3 linked regions of the Arabidopsis thaliana genome follow. The protein of the gene in region 1 interacts with the protein of each later gene in a biochemical or structural test. Each region holds a gene or a part of one and is shown on either strand. Other genes may lie near its edges.

Evidence for each region.
Region 2: the proteins of AT4G39270 (region 1) and AT2G01210 form a complex in vitro, tested with the Arabidopsis thaliana proteins (one large-scale study listed by BioGRID).
Region 3: the proteins of AT4G39270 (region 1) and AT1G51810 form a complex in vitro, tested with the Arabidopsis thaliana proteins (one large-scale study listed by BioGRID).

The regions. Positions count from the first base shown.
Region 1 is NC_003075.7:18,273,444-18,281,051, forward strand, and holds AT4G39270 (Leucine-rich repeat protein kinase family protein), read left to right. Parts: upstream 1-2,867; 5' UTR 2,868-3,430; coding exon 3,431-5,325; coding exon of another isoform or gene 5,326-5,413; coding exon 5,414-5,542; coding exon of another isoform or gene 5,543-5,546; exon of another isoform or gene 5,547-5,622; coding exon 5,623-5,645; coding exon of another isoform or gene 5,646-5,683; exon of another isoform or gene 5,684-5,719; coding exon 5,720-6,267; 3' UTR 6,268-6,498; downstream 6,499-7,608. Other genes in the region: CCR1 (cold, circadian rhythm, and RNA binding 1), read right to left, coding at 723-1,124, 1,408-1,515; AT4G39280 (phenylalanyl-tRNA synthetase, putative / phenylalanine-tRNA ligase), read right to left, coding at 6,849-6,899.
Region 2 is NC_003071.7:117,717-124,065, reverse strand, and holds AT2G01210 (Leucine-rich repeat protein kinase family protein), read left to right. Parts: upstream 1-2,085; 5' UTR 2,086-2,331; coding exon 2,332-3,802; intron 3,803-3,877; coding exon 3,878-4,557; 3' UTR 4,558-4,796; downstream 4,797-6,349. Other genes in the region: AT2G01220 (Nucleotidylyl transferase superfamily protein), read right to left, coding at 1-1, 143-212, 311-395, 485-583, 676-765; IAA32 (indole-3-acetic acid inducible 32), read right to left, coding at 4,847-4,913, 4,991-5,099, 5,179-5,430, 5,534-5,681.
Region 3 is NC_003070.9:19,225,521-19,234,687, forward strand, and holds AT1G51810 (Leucine-rich repeat protein kinase family protein), read right to left. Parts: upstream 6,840-9,167; 5' UTR 6,767-6,839; intron 5,423-6,766; 5' UTR 5,065-5,422; coding exon 4,847-5,064; intron 4,767-4,846; coding exon 4,285-4,766; intron 4,091-4,284; coding exon 3,946-4,090; intron 3,872-3,945; coding exon 3,800-3,871; intron 3,697-3,799; coding exon 3,625-3,696; intron 3,553-3,624; coding exon 3,481-3,552; intron 3,398-3,480; coding exon 3,213-3,397; intron 3,121-3,212; coding exon 2,885-3,120; intron 2,794-2,884; coding exon 2,667-2,793; intron 2,417-2,666; coding exon 2,351-2,416; intron 2,252-2,350; coding exon 2,062-2,251; intron 1,969-2,061; coding exon 1,599-1,968; 3' UTR 1,554-1,598; downstream 1-1,553. Other genes in the region: AT1G51805 (Leucine-rich repeat protein kinase family protein), read right to left, coding at 1-70.

The sequences.
Region 1 (7,608 bases):
GACTGTTGTTGTCACTTGGAGAGTGAGTAAACAGAGCATTGCTCAACAAGCCTACACATTTTACAAGAGACAAAAGTACACATATTGTAGCATATCCAAAGTCTCATCTATGTGATTTTATTGTTTGTTTAATAGTCATTTTATGGATTAGGATTTACATTTTTGGTTTGAGCTCATTGGGCTACGTTGACGATGATATCCTTTCACGATAAAAAGATGCCGACAAAAAGAAAAGTAACGGAAGGGGAATATTCGATGAATATCTTGTTGTCTATATATTCTCAGTCAAAAATTTAAACAGAAGATACTAGTATTAAATACCCAATGTCCACATTGGATCGGCGCAAAACTGAGTGACGATCATTTTCGATAAAATAGCACTAATTATTGGTAGGTCAAAAGTTAAAGAACTAATCAATTTCAAACTATAGTAATTATTGATAAGAAAATCATTTGAATCCTTTAGCTGCTGTTCGATTAAATACATGTGTCTAACAAGATAAATTATTTGAGGGAAAATCTCGAATCTGGTTAAAAGGAAACGTTATAAATTTAGTAAACAACACGCGAATTAACATTTCGTTCCAGACAAAGAAGACTTAAACGAAACTGTTTCATCAAAAAAGTAAACCAAACGAACGATAACCAAACCAGAAGTGGTGACACAAAACCAAATCTAAACCAAAAACAGAGCAGCAGCACGCAAACAACTCTATCTTTGATTACCAGCCGCCACCACCGCCTCCGTAACTTCCACCATCACCGCCTCCGTAGCCACCTCCCTCACGGCGTCCACCACCACCGTATCCTCGGCCACCACCGCCTCCACCAGATCCGTAACCTCCGCTACGTCTCTCGTAACCACCACCGCCTCCTCCTGAGTATCCGCCGCCACCGCCTCCTGAGTATCCACCACCGCCTCCGCTGCGGTAACCACCACCGCTTCCACCACGGCCTCCTCCGCCACCGCCGCTACCTCTCGACTGAGCCTCGTTCACGGTGATGACACGTCCATCGAGCTCTTTACCGTTCATCTCTTCAATCGCATCCCTCATGGCTTTCTCGTCCTTGAAGGTGACGAATCCGAATCCCCTTGATCTTCCACTCTCGCGGTCGTTAATGATCTGTAAACAAACAAAATCATACACATCAGCAAAAACAATCGTGGAAGGAATATAAAACAAAGCGATGAATATAAAGCAAAAATCGATCGATCTCCGAGCTCATAGAAGCAGGAAGATGAACGTACCGATGGGACAAATTAAGTAACAGTAACAAAGAACGAGAGAGAACATAGTAACAGTAATCGAATCAAGTAACAGAGAAACAGATCGGAATCAGATCCGTCGAGGATCAGAATCATCGGAATCGGCTCGATCCGGGAGACCGATCTCTCGTGTAACAGACCTTAGAATCGATAACGTCGCCGAACTGTGAGAACGTCCTTTGAAGATCTTCATCATTGGTGGCCCAGGCAAGGCCGCCGACAAAGCACCGGTACTCAACTTCAGACATTTTTTTTTGGGGAAAAGAAGAGAAATTAGGGTTTCAAAATGTAAGAGAGAGACTTATGTGATTTGAGGTGATAAGACGCAGCCTTAATTTATAGAACAGGTGTGACGTAATAACTAGGGTTAAACATGTTTTCTAGGGTTTGCTGAAAGATTTGTTTCAACTTACTCTGATTAAGATGTGTGGTTAATTGGGTTAGTGGTTAGGCCCACATCATGTGAGCATTTTCGATAACTAATGATTTTTTCTCCTCGTTTCGAGCAAAAAATATCTTTGTAAGAATATCTTTTATTCCTTAAATGACAATTTTGTCCTTCGTCTCGTCGTCATTATGTCATACAATAGTTGGGTCTGAGTTTCGTTTATTGGGCCTATCTAATTTAATTGGAAAGATTATAACTTCCGGCCCAATGAATCTGACGGCGAAATTAGTAAAACAATAAAATGAAATAATATGCAAAGACTATGACGATAATGTGCTATGGATTTACATATTTGTTTTGTCATTAATTATGACATGCAATAAATTCATATGAAAAGATTCTTATCGCAATAGCATCGTGGACATGTTACAGTCTGTAATATCCAAACTTTAGCATAGACGTTTTTTGTTGTACAAATATTTTGGTATGTTAAGTGATATTCAAATGAAAGCTAGATGTGCAGATATGTGAACATATAAATCTTTCAATGGAATTCAATTTTCAATCATTGAATATTTGGATACACTCGCTCTGTACTTGAAATATTTTGACTGTCTGAATATTATTTTTTTACAGGATTAATTATTTTGTATACCAAAATTAGACGGATGAAGAATGAAGATGTAGTAGTTATACAAAGTCAATTACAAATGGTTCAGTATCTTGATTTCGATTTTTGTGCTGAAAATGCTGACTAAAGCGTGTAGAAGAGCTTTTTCAACAAGAAATAACCTGGCTAAGATTTTTTTAAGAAATCTGATTATTAATATATCGCAGGTAATATGAAAAAGTATCGTCGACTTTTTATAAGAGTGACAACTAAATCATTTTGCTCATAATAAAGCCACAATTATTATTAGTATATTTTGGTCGTTTTAATACGAGGAAAAATAATTGTCATACAAAATTTACAGAAATGGAGTAGCATCGTAGCTCCTAGGAATTCAATTATTTATTTGCAAAACTACTAAAATGGTGGTTATCATATTAAACGTCAGCAGAAACTTTAAGTATTTTTGAAATGATATTAATTTAAGAGTTCGTTAAGCTGTCTTGGGCGGGATCGTTGAGAGTCAAACTCCTCAAACGACGCCGTATTCAGAACTTCACTTTCAATTACTGTATCTGCGTCTCGGTCACGAGATCGAACCATAAATCTTGGGAACGTGCACGTATACAACGAAAGATCCACCTTCTCTCACTTTTTTTATTTTCTTATACTTTCTTCTCTTTTCTTCGAACGGCCGCTGTTCTTGACCAGTCTGAAGCTTTCTCTGTCCAGAACAGTTCTGTAAGAAGAAGTTTTTATCAAATATTATATAAAAATATCTGTTTCGTATTATATCAGACTTTCCATCTTTCTCTCTCTAAATCTAGGACAAAAAAAAACATGGAAGAGTTAGAGAGAGAGAGAGGCAGCAGAAAATGATTGGTAAACAACAATGAATCGTTTTTGATTCTGAAGTGCACAGAGAAAAGTAATTGCCAGAGAAAGTCGCAGAGGTAACAGAGTGAAGAACCTTTTTTAGTATATATCTTTGTTGAATAATCACAAAAAGAAAGTTTCCTTTATTGATCGGATTCGAAGGAAACCCAAAAAAAAAAGAGATTTGATTATTTCCATAAATCGCGAAGCTTTTTTCCAATTGAATCTTAGGCAATGAATGGCTTTAAGTTTTTCGAAGTACTAGTCGTCACCAGGGTTTAGAGAAACCATGGTGGTTCTGAGGAAGACATCCTTGTTGGTCTTCTTCTTATTCCTCCTCTTGTTGTTAGAGTCAACGTTTGAGCAACAGACAAGTTCTCTGAATGAGAAATCGGCGCTTCTGCTGTTAAGGTCTTCTCTTGGGTTACGAAGCAGAGATTGGCCTGTAAAAGGCAATCCTTGTCTGAACTGGAACGGCATCAAATGTGATCAGAATGGTAGAGTAACTAAGATCAACATTTCAGGGTTCAGAAGGACAAGGATTGGGAATCAAAACCCGGAATTCTCAGTTGGTTCTCTCGTCAATCTCACCCGTCTAGCTTCCTTCAACGCCTCAAGGTTCTATCTTCCAGGTCCAATCCCGGCTTTGTTTGGATCGAGTCTGTTGACTTTAGAGGTGTTGGACCTTAGCTCCTGTTCAATCACAGGAACCATCCCTGAAAGTTTGACTCGGTTATCACATCTCAAAGTTCTTGATCTTTCAAAGAATGCGATCAATGGGGATATTCCTCTGTCTCTTACCTCTCTTCAGAATCTATCAATCCTTGATCTTTCCTCAAACTCGGTGTTTGGTTCGATTCCTGCTAATATTGGGGCACTCTCAAAGCTCCAGCGTCTGAATCTTTCGCGTAACACCTTGACTTCTTCAATACCTCCATCACTCGGAGACCTCTCTGTTTTAATTGACCTTGATCTCAGCTTCAACGGAATGTCAGGTTCGGTTCCATCAGATTTGAAAGGGCTAAGGAACTTGCAGACATTGGTAATTGCGGGAAATCGCCTTTCAGGATCCCTACCTCCTGATCTGTTTAGTTTGCTGAGTAAACTTCAGATCATTGACTTCAGAGGCAGTGGTTTCATAGGCGCTTTACCGTCCAGGTTATGGTCGTTACCGGAGCTCAAGTTTCTAGATATTTCTGGAAATCACTTCTCTGACATGCTGCCTAATACCACTGTCAGTTTTGATTCTACTGTCTCCATGCTTAACATATCCGGGAACATGTTTTACGGCAATCTCACACTTTTACTGACAAGGTTCCAAGTTGTTGACCTGTCAGAAAACTATTTTGAAGGTAAAATTCCTGACTTTGTGCCAACCAGAGCTTCATTGAGCAACAATTGTCTTCAGGGCCCAGAGAAGCAGCGGAAGTTGTCGGATTGCACTTTGTTTTATTCAAAAAAGGGCTTAACTTTCAACAATTTCGGACAACATGAAGAGAAGAAGAGTTCTAAAACTTCCTGGTTAAGCCACACGAAAATAGTTATACTTGCTGCAGTTGGAGGGTCTATATTGCTTATGCTCATTCTCATAGTGTTACCAATAACAGTGAGTTTCTGTGTCCGTCGAAGAAACAGATCATCAACAAGTAATCATCCTAGAGGAAGACACAACGGTGTTGGCCCATTACCTCCTGATGAAACACTTCCCTCAAGAGGAGGAGTCTCTATAAACTTTGGGAGTCTTGGATCATCATTTACCTATCAGCAGTTGCTCAATGCCACCAAGGAGTTCAGTGATTCAAACCTGATCAAGAAAGGACAATCTGGGGATCTTTTCAAGGGAGTTCTAGAAAACGGAGTTCAGATCGTTGTGAAAAGAATCAGCTTGGAATCTACAAAGAACAACGAAGCTTATCTAACCGAGTTGGATTTCTTCAGCCGGTTTGCGCATCCGAGAATAATCCCATTCGTAGGGAAGAGCTTAGAGAGCGCAACTCATAAGTTCTTGGTATACAAGTACATGCTGAATAGGGATTTACCAAGCTCATTGTTCTATAAATCCAATTCCCTAGTTGACAACGGATTGAGATCTCTCGATTGGATCACCAGACTGAAAATAGCATTGGGAGTAGCAGAGGGACTTGCTTACCTGCACCATGATTGCTCACCATCCGTCGTCCACAGGTATGAAAAACCATTCCTTTTACTCTTTTTTTACTTTCAAGCCACCATTAGTTCATTACTGATCTTGAGTCTTCCAATGTTCAATAAGGGATATTCAAGCAAGTAGCATTCTCTTGGATGATAAGTTTGAAGTTAGGCTTGGAAGCTTTAGCAAAGCTTGTCATCAAGAAAACAATGGCCGTCCACGGAAAATAGCCCGATTGCTCAGACTATCCCAGTAAGTGCCTCTGATTCATCATATAACCAATTTTGATTTAAACATCTAACAAACAAGCTTGCTACTGTTTCCCTCTTCAGGTCTTCTCAAGAAAGTGTTCCTGGTGAGTTTATCTTCAAATGCATAAAACAAGCTTGCTAATTTCTTAACTATTCTAACAATCCCTAAAATTCCCAGGGTCTGCAGCTACAGCAACATGTGCCTACGATGTGTACTGCTTCGGCAAGATACTTCTGGAGCTTATCACAGGGAAACTCGGAATCAGCTCATGTAAAGAAACCCAATTCAAAAAAATCCTAACCGAGATCATGCCTTACATTTCATCGCAAGAGAAAGAACCCGTAATGAACATTCTAGACCAATCTCTTCTGGTCGACGAAGACCTCTTAGAAGAAGTCTGGGCAATGGCAATCGTCGCTAGATCTTGTCTTAACCCAAAACCAACGAGACGGCCGCTTATGAGACACATAGTACAAGCCTTGGAGAATCCACTGAGAGTTGTGAGAGAAGACAGCAGCGAATCTGAGAGATTCCGTACGACTGGATCTTCGAGAGGATCTTCGAGTAGCGGTCGAATATTTGGTAGTTGGAGACAGAGCGTGTCTGATCCTGTCGCAGCGGGAACAAGTAGCCTTCTGTCTCAGGCGGAGGGTTTAGCGACTGGATCGTCAGCGAGAGGAAGTAGCCGTGGCGCGTCGAGTCGACGGAGTATGAAAGATGTATAGAAAGAAAGACACACACACACACGATCAATATTTATTTTTTGACGTCAATTTTTAATTATTTTTTATGTGTGGTTATGATTTGATCTCTTGTTGATAAAAAATTCCCGTTAATTTATAATATTTTTCGATGATCAAACCAGACCAGTCTTTTGAGTTTTGATATTCTCGGGTAGCAAACTAGCAATTCGTTTTGTATGGGGTGGGAATCGAAATGTTTTATACTTTGGGGCAATTATATAAAAAACGAAAAGTTTCTGTAATGATGTGTGAATGAGGCTAATAAATGGGCTGCTGTTATCTAACCACGTTGCATCTTTGCACTTAATGGGCCTCTTGGCCCAGTTACTTATTTATTTGATCTAAGTTCTTATTCCTTACATCGTAAATACCACCTCACAAACTTTATACCATACAAAACCAAATGCTAAGTGAAAATTAAATTTGACAAGCCAGATTGCAATTAAGAGTATACACATGTTTAAGATGGAATTGTCAAGTCCAATAACCAAAGGTAGAATTGTAAATACCAAGAGATAATCAAATAAAGTATCTTGAATCAAAAAGATAAATCAAAATATCACTCATATTCCAACTCGGCAGATCGGATTCCGTTTAATAAGATCGAGATCCACCTGCGACAAAATAATGACACATGGATTGAATATATATATTTCCAATAGAACAAAGAAATGTTTACACAAAGTTTTCTTGATAAGTGAAGATTTTGTGCATACCTTGTATATACAAAGAAAGACCGTATGTTTTTTCTAGCCTCTCGTCGAAAGCAATATTGAAAATCTCCTAGAGTGAATCCGAGTACTTGATGTTGTATACCTGAACAACCCACGATCTAAGATGAACACTCAATACATAAATTTTACCTTGTATTATACCCACGGCCGAAGATAGTTTGTGGGCTTCTAGAACCGTCGAACGGAGATGGTTTCTCACATAGTTGGGATAATAAATGGCTTGGAATGTGTTCCACAATTGATTGCATCGATAGTTGAGCCGTTACTCACATATGTTGTTTGAAGTCAGAAAGTGGGACCACCGGTCACAGTACATACATATTTTCAGAGTCACCAAATTTCTTTTCTAACGAAAACCACTAAAACCAGCAATTCCGTAAAGCAACAAAAAATACGTCTTTCTTAACATTTAATTCCGATCGGACTTGATATAAAATTTGAAAAATCTATTTTCGTTGGACGGAGGGAATATTACCTAATTATTATATGTACTGCATCTTAATTATTATTATTATTATTATATATATAGCTTTGTTACATAATCTGTGTTATCTAGATTCAATAATTACAAAAACCAAAACATCACGTA
Region 2 (6,349 bases), on another chromosome or scaffold:
CCTATACTCTCGCGCAACAAACAAAAACTATGAGTGACAGAAAGAATAAAGGGCCATGCTAGAGAACTAGCTTATTGTGATAGCTTTCATTTCAAGCAAACAAGTATATTACTATAAAGAGCAGGAAACAAAATTGCATAACCTGTGATCTCCACGCTTAGGACGAGAAGTTACCAATGATCCCGTAAACCCGACACCGAGAACCGGATATCCTATCCACAAGATTAAGGAAGTTACACCAATCCACATTACTATATTCCAGGACTTCTTGCTAACAAAGGATGGTGAAGTGAAGAAAGAGAGCAAGTACCTGGTTTAGAGAGCTTAAGCGCCCGATTGTAGGCTAACAAGGCCATCTCCTTGGCCAATGCTTGGCTACAGTGTTGGCTCGGAACCTAAAAGAGAGCGAACGAAAATCAGCTGATTAATGGAGAGAAGAGAAACATCGATTGCTATAATGAAATTGAGAGGTTTATGAACAAACCCTGCCGAGTAATTGAACCATAGATACTCTCGAATAAGGAACCACGGACTCGAGAAGCGTGTTCGACGCTCCAGGAACCGACATCAACCAACCTAAAGCCTGAAAGAGAATTCAATTTCGATCACTCAAAAGCACAGAGCAATCACATACTTGTGTATATACGAATCAATCATAAAGAGAGAGAGTGAAACCAGAGAGGCACCGCCGCAAAGATAGACGACGGCCTGCGTCGGAGATGAGTGAATGGCTTCGACGACGGTACGGATCGCAGCGTCTCCCATTGTTTCTCTCGGTTTCGTCTCCTCCCATTGCCGTGCCAGCAAAAAGCCAAATTAAGCCCCCCAAAGTTTCCGTAATTTCAATTTATCCCCAACAGTTTCCGTAATAACAATTCATGCCCAAACGTTTCCATAATTACAATTTATGCCCAAAATAATTTTATATTGCACTAAAACCCAAGTTGTTTGATTTACTAGTATGTAGCCTCGGAGTCGTCGCCGTTAGTCCGTGAGGAGAAAATAGGCCCACTCTGGCACACTCTCTCTGGGTTTAGGTTTAGGTTTTTTTGGGGCTCTCTATCCTAAGAAACTAGGAGACATCACACTTCACCAAGTCTACTTATCGACAATTTTATCGTATCACCATAACGACAATAAGGGCCGGACTAATGTTTGTACACATGTCCTCTCCTTTTACCCTTTTAAGGCTTTAGCTAAATCTAAACCACATTTATAATCGTTTATTATATGAATCTTCTTCTTGCGAAAAAACATGTCAAGCTACTATTCTAAGTAAAATAAGAAAGATGAGCTGTGATTTATATGGTAAAGTAAGATATAAAAGAGGTAGTACTAGTACTGTAAAAGCAGACTCGAGGAATAAAGAAAGCAGGAAGAGCGTGGTGGTATCTTGTGGCACCTTTCTTCTCTAGTAAACTCCACTGTTATGTTTGCTCTCTCCCAATCGTAACTAGTTTGTTCAATGCTCATTTGAAACTACACTTGTTACTACTTGTTACTACACTTGCTACACTCTATTAATATGCATCACTTGGTATTTTATGGAGTTTCGTGCTAGAGCAACATCATCTAAGAAATAAAAAATGAATGATACTACTGTAGTAGTAATATATTGACAAGATAGATTAATAGAAAAGGACAAACACTGTAAATGTTACCTACATTGACACTTGACAGATCAATCAAAGGACCCCAATATATTACTTTTCGGAATAAAACAACAATCATGACAAAAGGTATTACAAGATGTAACTATTTGAATAAAGATATCTGCATTTGTAACATTTTGTATATAGGAGAGATTACAAAGATATTGGGTCTGATTGGTAACCAAAAGCTGGACAAGTTTTTTACCTGTTAGCTGAAGCTATTAGCTTTATCGGAATAGTGCAAAACTGTTAGAAGAAGCTGTATAAAAAAGCTGTACAAAAAAGCTAAAAGTAAAACTTTTTGTAACACTTTTAATAAAGTTTTTATGATCGATTCAAAACTGTATAAAGCTTAAGTTTGTTACCATTCAAACCCATTAGATTAGTGGTCAAATTAGCGTATGGATTACTTCGCCATGGCCTTCTCTTTTCTCCAACTTTCACCTCTTTCTTTGGTCATTTCTTTTTTTTTTGTTAATTCTCTTCTCCCAATGCAAAAACAGAGCTCTCTCTCTCTTTCTCTCTACTTTTTGTATTCTTTCTTTCTCCTTTTTCTTCAACGAGAGTATCTTTTTCACTTTACTCTTCACTCCATCAATATCACACTCTTCTTGCTACTATCTCTCTTTGCTTTGTACAAAGCCAACACTCGTCTTTTTGTTCTAATTTGCATCTGATAATGTTGGCCTCGCTGATCATCTTCGTTGCTCTTCTCTGCAATGTGACTGTCATAAGTGGCTTAAACGACGAAGGCTTTGCGCTCTTAACGTTTAAACAAAGCGTTCACGATGATCCTACAGGTTCTCTTAACAATTGGAACTCATCAGACGAGAACGCCTGTTCGTGGAACGGTGTAACTTGCAAAGAACTCAGGGTGGTGTCTCTAAGCATTCCAAGGAAGAATCTTTACGGTTCTCTCCCTTCGTCTCTAGGGTTTCTCTCCAGTCTCCGTCACTTGAATCTCCGGAGCAATAGGTTTTATGGGTCGTTGCCTATTCAGCTTTTCCATCTTCAGGGACTCCAAAGTCTAGTCCTTTACGGCAATTCCTTTGATGGGTCATTGTCGGAAGAGATCGGTAAGCTGAAGCTTCTTCAGACCTTAGATTTGTCACAGAATCTCTTCAACGGGTCGTTACCACTTTCGATTCTGCAATGCAACAGACTTAAAACACTCGATGTCAGCAGAAACAACTTGTCTGGTCCTTTGCCTGATGGGTTTGGCTCAGCGTTCGTCTCTCTGGAGAAACTCGACCTCGCCTTCAACCAATTCAACGGCTCCATCCCCAGCGACATTGGAAACCTCTCCAACCTTCAAGGAACTGCTGATTTCTCTCATAATCACTTCACCGGCTCAATCCCACCTGCCCTTGGAGATCTTCCTGAAAAGGTTTACATTGATCTCACTTTCAATAATCTCTCCGGTCCCATTCCTCAAACCGGTGCTCTTATGAACAGAGGACCAACAGCGTTTATCGGCAACACTGGTCTATGCGGGCCTCCATTGAAGGACCTTTGCCAAGGATATCAACTTGGCCTCAATGCCTCTTACCCTTTTATCCCAAGCAACAACCCACCTGAGGATTCTGATAGTACTAACTCTGAAACCAAACAGAAATCAAGTGGTTTGAGCAAAAGCGCCGTCATTGCCATTGTTCTCTGCGACGTGTTTGGTATCTGCCTTGTGGGTTTGCTTTTCACTTACTGCTACTCAAAGTTCTGCGCTTGTAACCGCGAGAACCAATTCGGAGTCGAGAAAGAATCCAAGAAAAGGGCTTCTGAGTGTCTGTGTTTCCGTAAAGACGAATCCGAAACGCCATCTGAAAACGTGGAGCATTGCGACATTGTTCCCCTCGACGCTCAGGTTGCGTTTAACCTGGAGGAGCTGCTAAAGGCGTCAGCTTTCGTTCTGGGGAAGAGCGGAATCGGAATTGTCTACAAAGTGGTTCTAGAGAACGGGCTCACACTGGCCGTACGGAGATTGGGTGAAGGAGGGTCTCAGAGATTCAAGGAGTTTCAGACAGAAGTTGAAGCCATAGGGAAACTAAAACATCCTAACATTGCTAGTCTTCGAGCTTATTATTGGTCTGTCGATGAAAAGCTTCTCATCTACGACTATGTTTCCAACGGTAACCTCGCAACCGCCCTCCACGGTGAGTCACTCTTTTCTCATTTCAAGATGCATTATTCAGTTACATCATCGTAAATGTGTGTGTGTGTATGTGCAGGAAAGCCGGGGATGATGACCATCGCTCCGTTGACATGGTCTGAACGGTTGAGGATAATGAAAGGGATTGCTACAGGGCTTGTTTATCTGCATGAGTTTAGTCCCAAGAAATACGTCCATGGAGATCTCAAGCCAAGCAACATTCTCATTGGACAGGACATGGAACCTAAGATCTCAGATTTTGGACTAGCACGGTTAGCTAACATCGCTGGAGGATCTTCTCCGACCATACAGTCTAACAGAATCATCCAAACGGATCAACAGCCGCAAGAGAGGCAACAACACCATCACAAGAGCGTATCTTCGGAGTTCACTGCTCACTCTTCTTCTGGATCCTACTATCAAGCACCTGAGACTCTCAAGATGGTAAAACCTTCACAGAAGTGGGATGTTTACTCTTATGGGATCATTTTACTGGAATTGATAGCGGGTAGGTCTCCCGCAGTGGAGGTGGGGACATCGGAAATGGATCTAGTGCGGTGGGTACAGGTATGCATTGAGGAGAAGAAACCATTGTGTGATGTTCTTGATCCTTGTTTGGCTCCTGAGGCAGAGACGGAAGACGAGATTGTTGCTGTTCTTAAGATTGCAATCAGTTGCGTGAATAGCAGTCCAGAGAAAAGGCCTACCATGAGGCACGTTTCTGATACGCTCGACAGATTACCCGTGGCCGGCGATTGAGACATCTAGAGATTGCACATAAAGCTTGTTTTGAAATTTGAAGCTGCAATGTATTTTGAAGCATAAGCCTGATGACACTAATGTGGTTACCGTTTGTTTTGTTTTATTTTGTTCTTTTATTTGTCCCAGTCTTGTTGGTGGTTGGTTATTAAGATGTCCCTCTCTTCATAATCGTATTTATAGCTTAAAGCTTCCATTACATCAGATATTGAACAATAGAACCACAAGTGAGCTAATTTGGATCTTAGATAATCAGTGAACGCCCCAGAAGAAGCTTGGACTTAAAAGCTTAAAAGGGAAGAAGAGCATCGTTTCTTCTTGCGATTCGCATCCGATCCACGCTTTCGACAAACTCCCTACAGGTTTCAGACAAATTACAAAGTGGTTAACTTAAAATGCTTAGTTTTTGTATAGAGAAAATGTAAGAGCTTACTTCCATGGAACATCCCCAACATTCCTCCAAATGCCTTCTCTGTCTCTGTAGACCAAAGAGAACTCAGACTCAGTCTGGAACAACCTCAATCCCGACACGGTCTGCATCCCTGCAGATTCGAATTAATGTGGCAAAACCTTCTGAAACATACTTGTAGCTGGAAGCTTGGGGGTCAGAACACGGCTTACCAAACATATCATTGAGCTGAAGAGCAAGAGTTGCGTAAGCTCCTTGATCAACAAGGCAAACCTTGCGCCCTACCACTAGGCCATCCAGATTTACCTTTACGTAAGCATATTTTCCTCTGCTCTCTCCTTCATTATTGTAATATCCTTGGGCAAGTCTTTGGTGTCCAGTGTCCTCACTCTTCAACTGTGTAATGCTGTTATAGCTGGGCTGCGACCAGTCTATGAGCTCTCCATACCCGTCGAGACCTATCACTTTGATTCACATATAGATATTGAAGGTAGCAAGTTGAGGATTAAGAAAACTAACTAATGATGAGGTGAAAGCACGGCTATTCAGCAAAAAAAAAAAACTCACTTCGCGCCGGTGGGAGGTAAGTTTCATGTTGTATGGTCCTAAGGCTGAGGCCTAGATCGATTACCCCACCACCCTTTTTGGTCTGTGAGTAATATGTATGAAACTTGGAAGAACCTTTGAAGAAGTCTGCAGGTGTGTTTGGGTCCATTGATGCTTTTTTATTTCTAAAGATGCAGAGAAGGGAAAGTGAGATGAGAAAAAGAGAGCTCACTTCTAAAGATTTATAGTATGAGCTGATGCTAAAAGAGTGTCAGAAGAGTTAAAGAAAAAAAGACAGAATTGCAGACATGAAAGAGACATAAGACAAGAAAAACCCATTAAGATCCAGTTGGTTTGAAGCAAGGGATGGGGAGCTGACCACAGAGAGAGATTTGGTTCAGATCTTGTAATCCAACCAGGTCTGCCAATGCTTCTGATGCACAAAGTCACATCTCAACTCTGTGAACACTGCAGAAATATTATCTGGGACTATTGACAACTCGATTCAAAGTGAGGCTCTGTGTTGCTTATGAGAGAATAGTGTAGTGCAAGAGTAAAATATCTTTGAGTCATGTATAGAGAGAGAGATAAAAAGGACTGGGTTTGGTGTTTAGGTAAAGATACAAATGCCTATCTCTTTCAAAAGAGATAGTTGTGTTGCTAAATTGCAAGACAGATCGATTTTGTCACTACCTTTTTCACCCACACCTTGTCTCTTAGAAGTTGTAGGGTTTGTGTGTACTTTTGCAAGACCACACACATGTTTTAATATCTGTACCTATGCTCCCATGGATAGCAAGAAGCCAGACATACATTCTTCCAAATATTAAATGTTAT
Region 3 (9,167 bases), on another chromosome or scaffold:
GTTGATCTTGAGCTTGAACAAGATGAAGTATCAGCATAAAAGTGGCAACGAACACACGATGACTCTCCATTAATATCTTCCTTACTATGCAAAGAAGGGATCTGTTTTTTTTTTTGAGTTAGCAAAGCTATGCATATAAGTTTATGATTATGTATATGAGGTATTTCTCAAAGTCCTAAGTCAAATTCTTATAAGTGTCACATTAATGAATCAAATAATTGAGGGAACACATTTAATGAGGATATTATTTCGATGGTGTAAAATGATTTGGTTGAGAGAAAATGACAAGAGTGGTCCGTTACCTTGCCCAGCCGTAATTACAGCTTACAAGTTGGAACCACAAAACCGTTGACTAAGTCAACTCGAAAGAACAATCAGTCTTTAGATTCTCCTTGAATTTTCTTATCTTCAATATTGTCAAGGATATGCTTTTTTCTATATTATGTGGACATAAGTAATCATCTGATAACCATTAATGACAATGACTTCACTTTGTAGTTTGTAAGCAATGTGTTGCCTTAGTTGACTATAGATTATTACAACATATGAATCTTGTTTGATCCTTTGTCAATTTGTCAAGTTGTGCTACTTGATATCCTTCTCTTGTTTCTTTGCTCCGTCCAATATTCTGCTCAGATACTTTCTTTTTCCAACAAAAAGTAAATTTTTGTCACCAAATTTTATGTACCTTTTGGATTAAGTATATATATTTGATTATATTCCCAATGGCTTGGAGCAATCATTTTATGGTTTTAAAAGTAGAATAAGCAGTTATAGTGTGAATGTGTGATATTTATTTTAAAAATGTTTGAAGGACACTCAGACCAACTCCAACGGGAGTTTCTCATAAAATCTCTCACCAATAAAATAAGAAAAAAATGTCAAAAGGAGGAGAGAGGTAAGGGAAAGTTTTCTTTAGAGAAACCAAGAAAAACTCATCGACAACGTTTCTCACAGTTGTCATTCAATCATTGGTTTAATTAAAATACTTTCCAATTAAATATTAATAATATTTGTGTTCACACTTATATTTATGTTCACACATATATTGAGAATCGGAAGTTGAGAAGTTGCCGTTGCTGATGCTCTCAATCTGTTATTTCCAAAATTGTCCCGTTCTATTCCATGTTTTGCCCCAATGTCGACCAAACTATTTCTATGATTTGCCCCAATGAAGAGAATCTATAAACCAAATTTCATCAATTTTGTAATTTGAAAAGCTAGGAGGTGAGTTTGCTTCTTTTATTGTCAGGAATTTCTTCTGTTTCCGTACTGGTGACTGGATCTCTTAGGTGACGCTGCTTATATACAAAGGTCACTCTGCATGTTAGAAGTTGAAGGGTCATAAGCAAATGCTATAGTTATTAATTCATGGTTATTTTTGGTAAAAGAAACATGCACCACCACCCATTATTTAATTCATGGTTAGTTGGAATAAACTGAAACATGGGGGAAAAAAGACTTTGAACTTCTATTGTAATTAGAAGTTCATTGCTTACAAAAAATAAAATTGATGCACAAAATTTAGGATAGTTGTAAAGGATATATAGGGTAAAATAATGATCCACGCGATACAATAGGAAATATAATCAGGACCTCTACCGAGCCATAGGGGCCACTTCAGTTCCGAAGGTCATGCTCACTTCCCTGGAGCTTTCAGAGGCCAAACACTCTTTCAGTTCAAAAACAACTTGAGACATTGTCGGTCTTGTCATCGAAGAAGGATTCATACATGACATTGCTAGTTCAACAGCTTTCCAAACAGAACCAGAATTATAATCTCCAAGGAGATTTGGATCAGTAATACTTTTGATGTCTCCTTTCGTAAGCATTCCTCCCACCCATTCTGCTATATGTCTCTTTTCGCGGTTTTGGTCTATCACGGGTTGGTTTGTAATCATCACCAATAATACAACTCCAAAACTATACACATCACTTTTCTCCGTCAACCAATTTGTTCGGTAATATCTATAAAATAGTTCAAAGTGCAAGAATATTACGTAATCATTGGAGACAAAATATCTACAAAATATATTTTCTTATTGAAGAAGTAATACTTACTCGGGATCGAGGTAACCAATAGTTCCAGCAACAACAGTTGATACATGAGTTTCCCCTTCTATCGGGAATGATCTCGAAAGCCCAAAATCAGCAAGTTTGGTATCGAAATGTTCATTCAACAATATATTTGTGGTTTTAACATCTCTATGAACCATTAAGGGTTTGCATCCATTATGCAAGTACTCTAATCCTATGAAAAATATTATTTTCACAAAGTTTCAGTCAGTCAAAGCAAAAGAAACAAAGAAAGAATATGATGAGGTTAGGTATTTGAGAAATCAATACGAACCTTGTGCAGCCTCGAGAGCTATCTTTAGCCTTGTTCCCCAATTTAATATAGAACCACCTCGTTTTCCTATGTATTGTTAAAAAAATAACTAATGTGTGTTAGATTCTTACATTCAATAGACAAATATTCAAAATTATATTCAAAAAAATAACTAATGAGTGAATTGTAAATGACAAAAAAATATATTATTCTGAGTTATTATTTGTTTTTCTTTTTCTTAAAGAGTTACCATTTGGTATGTTATAGTTTCACCATGATGTATTGTTATGAAAACCAAATATGTTGCCTTTCTAGTAAAAACAAATATTATGTTTACCTGACATATGCTCATCTAAGTCTCCATTGGCCATGTATTCGTAGATGAGAGCCAATTTATCTCCTTCTTCGCAATACCCGACAAGGCCTACCAAATTCTTGTGATGTACTCTAAGAAGAAGTTCAACCTAACGTACCATAATGATACACCAAATTAGCTTTGAAAGAAACTCTGGAATGTTTCACACAAAATTCCATTATGAGTTGTGGTATGAATACCTCAGCTTTAAATTGCTTATATCCTTGAGCTGATGAATGGGAAAGCATTTTCACAGCAACCTGCTCTGTACCGTTTACTGAACCATAATATACAATTCCAAATCCTCCTTTTCCAAGGATTTTTTGGAAATTGTTTGTCATGGTTAAAACCTCCGCATACGTAAATTTTTTATTCTTCGTCACTATTGTCGGTTCAGATGATCTACTATCCGCGGGTAGCATACATGATGTTGGAGCTAAAGTTGTGATGAAAACATTCAATGAAACTATGCAAGTTTAATGTGTGTGTATTCATAAGTATCTTGATCGATGAATATAATGTGAATACCTTCATCGTTTGACGGGTTATTCTTTCGAACAACACAAAATATCATCAATGCAACTGTGAAGGCAACAACAGAACCAATTGATGCCACAATTGGGATTGTCATGCTCTTTATCTGTCGTCCACCCTCTTCATCTTTGTTTACACATGACTCCACTGTGCAATTAAGCTTCGGATTGCCTTCAATGCTTTGGATTGCAAGTCAAGAAAAAATTAGTTTATCATAAAAAAACATGTTAGTATCAAACAAATACAATATACAAATTCTTACTTCAATTTCAACATTTTCTTCTCTATAAGCTTTTGAGGAACTACACCACTGAGATTGTTCCCACTTAAGTTTCTGTTTAGATAGAGACATAGATCAAGCACAAGGATCAAGGGCTAATAGACATCATTCTCATGGGAAACTTACATGACCAAGAGCGACTTCATATCCGCTAGAAATTCAGGAACACCTCCAGACAAGTTGTTATTTGACAAGTCCCTATAACGATTAAGATAAAATAACCATTCATCTTAGTAATTTCTACCAACATTTTTTTTTTAAAAACTAATGATGCTTATCTATATAGTTATCTGATACTGACAGTTCTTGTAAATTGGCGAGATTCTGAATGGTCAGCACGATAATTCCAGTCAATCCACTTGAAGACAAGTTTCTAGTGATGAAAAAATAATGAGTATGTTAAGTGTACAAAAGAAAAGTAGGAAAACGATGAAATCATGTCCTTACAAGGAAGTGATAATTGGTGGCGTAGAATCATCCGAGTTGTTGCAGTTTAAACCATCCCACAAGAACTTTTTGGGTACACATGGATCTCCTTGCCAGGTTGTTTTACTCAATCCATAAGTAGATTGTATATTCTTGATAGCAATCACTAGTAATTATTTATAAAGTTAGTTGATATCAATATTCATATTTTGTAACTGTCTTCAAAGGTTCCATGTTTCTATCTTTCTTTCTTGAGCTACTATATATATGGTTAGTCTAGTTTCTATTCAAGTTCGGTATATATTTAAAGCTTAACATTAAAACCCGAAAAGAATATAAGTATATGAAAAACACACATACCTTCATCTACATTTGTTTCTATCTGTGGGAAATCAAGCACAGTGTAAGCCTCCATAGCATTAATTAGAGGCGGCAAAGTGGACCTTGACGTTTTCACTAACTGCAACAAGCATTTCCCTCCATCGCATTGCTTTGGTGCTGTGCTATATACTGTTTGCATTTCTAAAAACTTAGGACTATAAGATTTAAATGTAACATTTCCGTTCAACACCACATTGAATTCCCTCGTCTCGTTGGCTTGTAGACTTTGAAGCTCTGCAAAGTGAAGGAATAAGTAAAACTGTGAAGTTGGAGGCTCTAAGTTCCAGGGAAATTCCATCGTCGTTGTGCTAGCTTTAATGGGTGTTACAGCTGTTTTCATTACACGTTGGGGTAGATCATAATCATTAGAAACGTTTATTTGGAGATTCGTAGTTAAAATCTGCCAATCCTGGTAAGGTAGGATTTGTTTCCATATGCGATCGTGGACATCATCGGGGTACCTGGCACAAACTTACATTAAACATAATATGTTTGTCTACTCTAGAGCAAAAAATATAATGATCAAGCAAGCGATTCTTACTCTATATAGCCCTTTAAATTGCTATAATAAACCCGAAAAAGATAGTTGAGGGAGCCACTTTCGTTGGTGTATATATCGTCGGCCAATGGTCGTAGTTCCAATGTATTTATATAAGGTATACTTGTACCTGTCTTAACAAGACACACTTGCAAAGTGTTTGATTTCGATACGTGGAGGATCTCCTTGATAGTGTTATCAGTATTCACCGTGATCCACATATTTGGGCCGATGTAAAGATCAAAATCCGGGATGACATTACGACCATCATAGTTTCCATAGAGAAAGGTTGGCTTGATTAGATACTTTGTTCCCCTTGTGACATTCAGACTGAAACAATTTCTTACTCCATCAGGAAAGTATCTTAGCGTCCGCTCCGGTTTCTTGTATAATGACTCGAGTTCCTTGGTGATTTTACCAATTTTCCCGCTCTGGACGAAACCATCGTCTGACGTATATGTTAGACCGGTCGAGGATTCTTTGTAAGGAGAGCCTTGAATTGACAAACCACAATCCAAATTGATGAATCCTATAGTATGTAGGAGACTACATTAATAGGCGATTATTAGGTTCCTATGACTAAAGAATACGCAATAAGTATTAGGAAAATGACAAGTAGTGAACATTGAACAATAGTGGATTTTGAGCATTTTGGACGATGTTACCGCTTTCTTTATTTTCTTTGTTTTGACTGAAAATTTTACCTCTTTCACTTTCGGACGAGTGTTTTTCTTTTACTGCAACGTGTTATTTGTTTTACTTATAATATCTAACTAGATAAGAACTCGCACAATTTGTGCGGAATAAAACAATTCAAGTAAAATTATTATTTATGATCCATAACATGTAATTAAAGTTTTTTTTATTATAAGAATATGTTTTACCTATAAATATTTGAACATGGAATAAAACTTCAACGTGATGGAGAAAGTATTGACAAAATGTTACCATTTATGATAATATGTCTTTCTATGTTTTTAAGAATCAAATTCATATCTTTTATGTTTTATCAAGTAATCATAACCTTTGTTTTATGTTTCTTATAAAGAAAGGATTAGTTACTTGATTATTTTGCTTAAGGTTGTGTAATATATTTATTTTGGAAAGATTAGATTGCTTAATTGTTACTCTTTATTAGAATTTTGTATATAAGACTAATGGCAAAATCTGTAAATAATCTAGTAAAAGTTGGATAATTATTGAAATTGGCGAAGAATCATTGCGAGAGCAACATGTTAGCATGACATTCTCGTTAATAACAAATCAAAATAAAATTTGTGTGTTTTAAGTGTTTCTCTATTAATATATTGGAGATTTGTCAAATATAGTTTTGATAAAAGTTTTTGACTTTTTGTTCATGTCATTTAAGTGTTGCAGAATATGTCATTTTTTTTTTACTGTACCTGTTTCTATATATGGACATCTAATTTATTAAATCGATATCTTTTTTATAATTGATGTTTTAGGATTGTGTACAAATTAAAAATCAATTATTTTTTTTTTCTAAACTAAAACATCAATTATGTACCATCTAAGAATATAACCAATAATAAAAAAAAAAAATCTGCACATGTTAATTAATTTTGTATTAAAAACTGAAAACATCATATAATTTAGAACAAATTATTTTCTTTAAATCATCAATTATAAAGTGGAGGGGGTATCTATTTTTTTTTTTTTTGGAGGGAGTATCTATCTACGCCACATAAATATGTGATCTTTATATATTCAGAATTACTATATGCAAGCACGCTAAAACCAATTTTCCTAAATAAATCTGGTTTAGAAGTGCATTTAATAATATATAATGTGTTGTGTTTTGCCAATAACTAACCTAAAAAAAATCTTTGTATTTTGTCATTTATTCACTTAACTTTAAATCAATATCACTACGATAAACAAATATGGGTACAGGTTACGTACCTATTGGGTCCTGAGCTTGAACAAGATGTAGTATAAGGGAAAAAATCACAAAGAACAAACAATGTCTCTCCATTTTTCTGCTTGACTTTCTAAAAGGAGATTTCAACATTTAACAAACTGAGATTAGCTTTCAATTTATAATATCAATCCATGGATATTATATGAGCCACTTCCCAAATGGGAATATTAAAAAAAAAAAACTAACACACTGATGAGTTATTAAAAATACGAAATTCCTTGTGCAACCTGATAACGGCAGAGAGCAAAATGGGAGAAATTTAATCTTCAACGATGACACAAAGTAGTGCTCGAAGATTATCTCATGTCCACATTAATAGAAGACCATTGACTCATTGAACAATTATGTTCCAGCTACTTCTTCCTTCTAAATCCCTCACGTTTATTCCTAGGCTTACACGTTGTACTTGTTCTCAGATTAAAGGCCATCCATCTCCATTAACCTAACTAAACCAAATTGAACCGATCGATGTGAACATTTTTTTAATTTTATATTTGTAGAATATATTTTACTTTGCTTTCCAAAATACAAATGCAAGCAGCAGGATCTCCTTCCATTTTTATGTGGCATAAATATGGAAAAATGTACACGTTAAATGTAACAGTAAATGCAAACGAACGAATGATTAAGGTCTTTATTAGGGAAAAAAAACAAATGATCATGTCTTAACCTAAACCGAAGCGACACCATTCTAATTTAGAAAATGTATAATCCTACTTGTAGTTGACAACAGCATAAAACTAGAAAACTAGGCAGATAAAGTTTCTGACAATATGCACGAAGACGTGGAACACTTGGGGTTTTCTATGCATTTTACAATTTTTGCCGGACACATGTTGTCTTTTTAATATATTTTTCATAATGAATTAAGGCTTAATTATCTCGCAAATTTTTTTCTAAACAGATGCATTCATTGTAAACAAGTTTTCTTGTGGAATATAATTTTACATTCTTTCAAAAAAAAAAAGAATTAAGGCTTAATTATCTCGCAAAATTTACAAACTTTGAGGTTTTCTACACACCTTTTTCAAAATTAACAAATCCGTACACATATAAGAATCTCGTACAGGTTTGGGATAGAAAACTATTGTGCCATGCTGGTGCCATTAAGTAAGTCAACTTCATCTTCCTCTCGTGTACTGTCAACCTTCCTAGACTCCTATAGTTTTAATCTATGTTAAAATATTTTGAGGATTATGTACGACAATAAAAAAATAATGTACGGCAGGTTAGGAAAATAGGTTTTAAGTGTTTGAAAATGTCAATTACATGTAGACATTGGTATATTGAGAGATTACGAGCTCTCAATAGTTTTTCAAGAGAGACACTGGAACGTGCATACAACTTTCAAACGCTAACTCCGTCATGATTTTGTTTTCGTTTTTAAATTTTCAGAATTGGGATGTTTTGGTTAACGCAAACCTTGATGTTGAGGAAAAGGAGATTATGAATTGTAGCGGTTTCTCTTGGTCTAAAACGTTATAAAGCAATTTTCGTGATTGTTGTCAAACGCTAGCAACTGCAGAGCCTCTCCATTCTGTTTTCATCAAATCACTCTGTTTGATACCGAGACTCTATTTTGCTGTAATTTATCTTTAAATTTGCCCATTCAATTTTTTTTAGGTTATAGCCCGTAATCTCCACAGACCTGAAACAATAGCATGTAATATTAGTTTCGTCCCGAACATCACTCGAATCTGCGACTTCTAAATTTCGCCTAAAACTTTTACCAGTTGAGCTAACGACACATGGTTGTCCATTCAATTATGAATACAAAGTCCTTGTCTCTTCTTTTCTTTCCTCAGATACAATAACTTTTACTTTTCATCTTCACATTCTAATTGTAGAGAATAGTTGGTTAAATATTGGGTTAAATTATATTTGGTATAGTGTAAATACACAATTAATAAATTAACCACAAATATATAAACCAAAATAAGAAAACACTCTTATATTTATTTGTAAATCACTCACAATACAAAGTTTATAACTTAATAACAAATACACTCAAATCTCACACCACTCTTTATTTTTCTCAAACCTCACACTCTATTTCTACGTTGCATGATATTGCAACTTCTCTCTCTCTCTTGTATTGTATGTTATGGGATGATTGCTCTCGTTTAATTCCTCTCAATTTATAGAGAGTTCGCAACCTACTTTTGTTGACTAAATGAGCAACCACCACTTCTTATTTTCAACAATAAACACTACTTAAATATTCAACAAAAAACACTGCTTTGACTAAAAGTTACCGCATGTGAAAGTGATGATGCAATTCTTTCAACACTAATATCTCAGCGGAATTTAAACTGAAGTATCACACTAAGACAAAAAAAGATTTTGTGTAACATGTATTAATATGGAGTTTATAGCTCGATA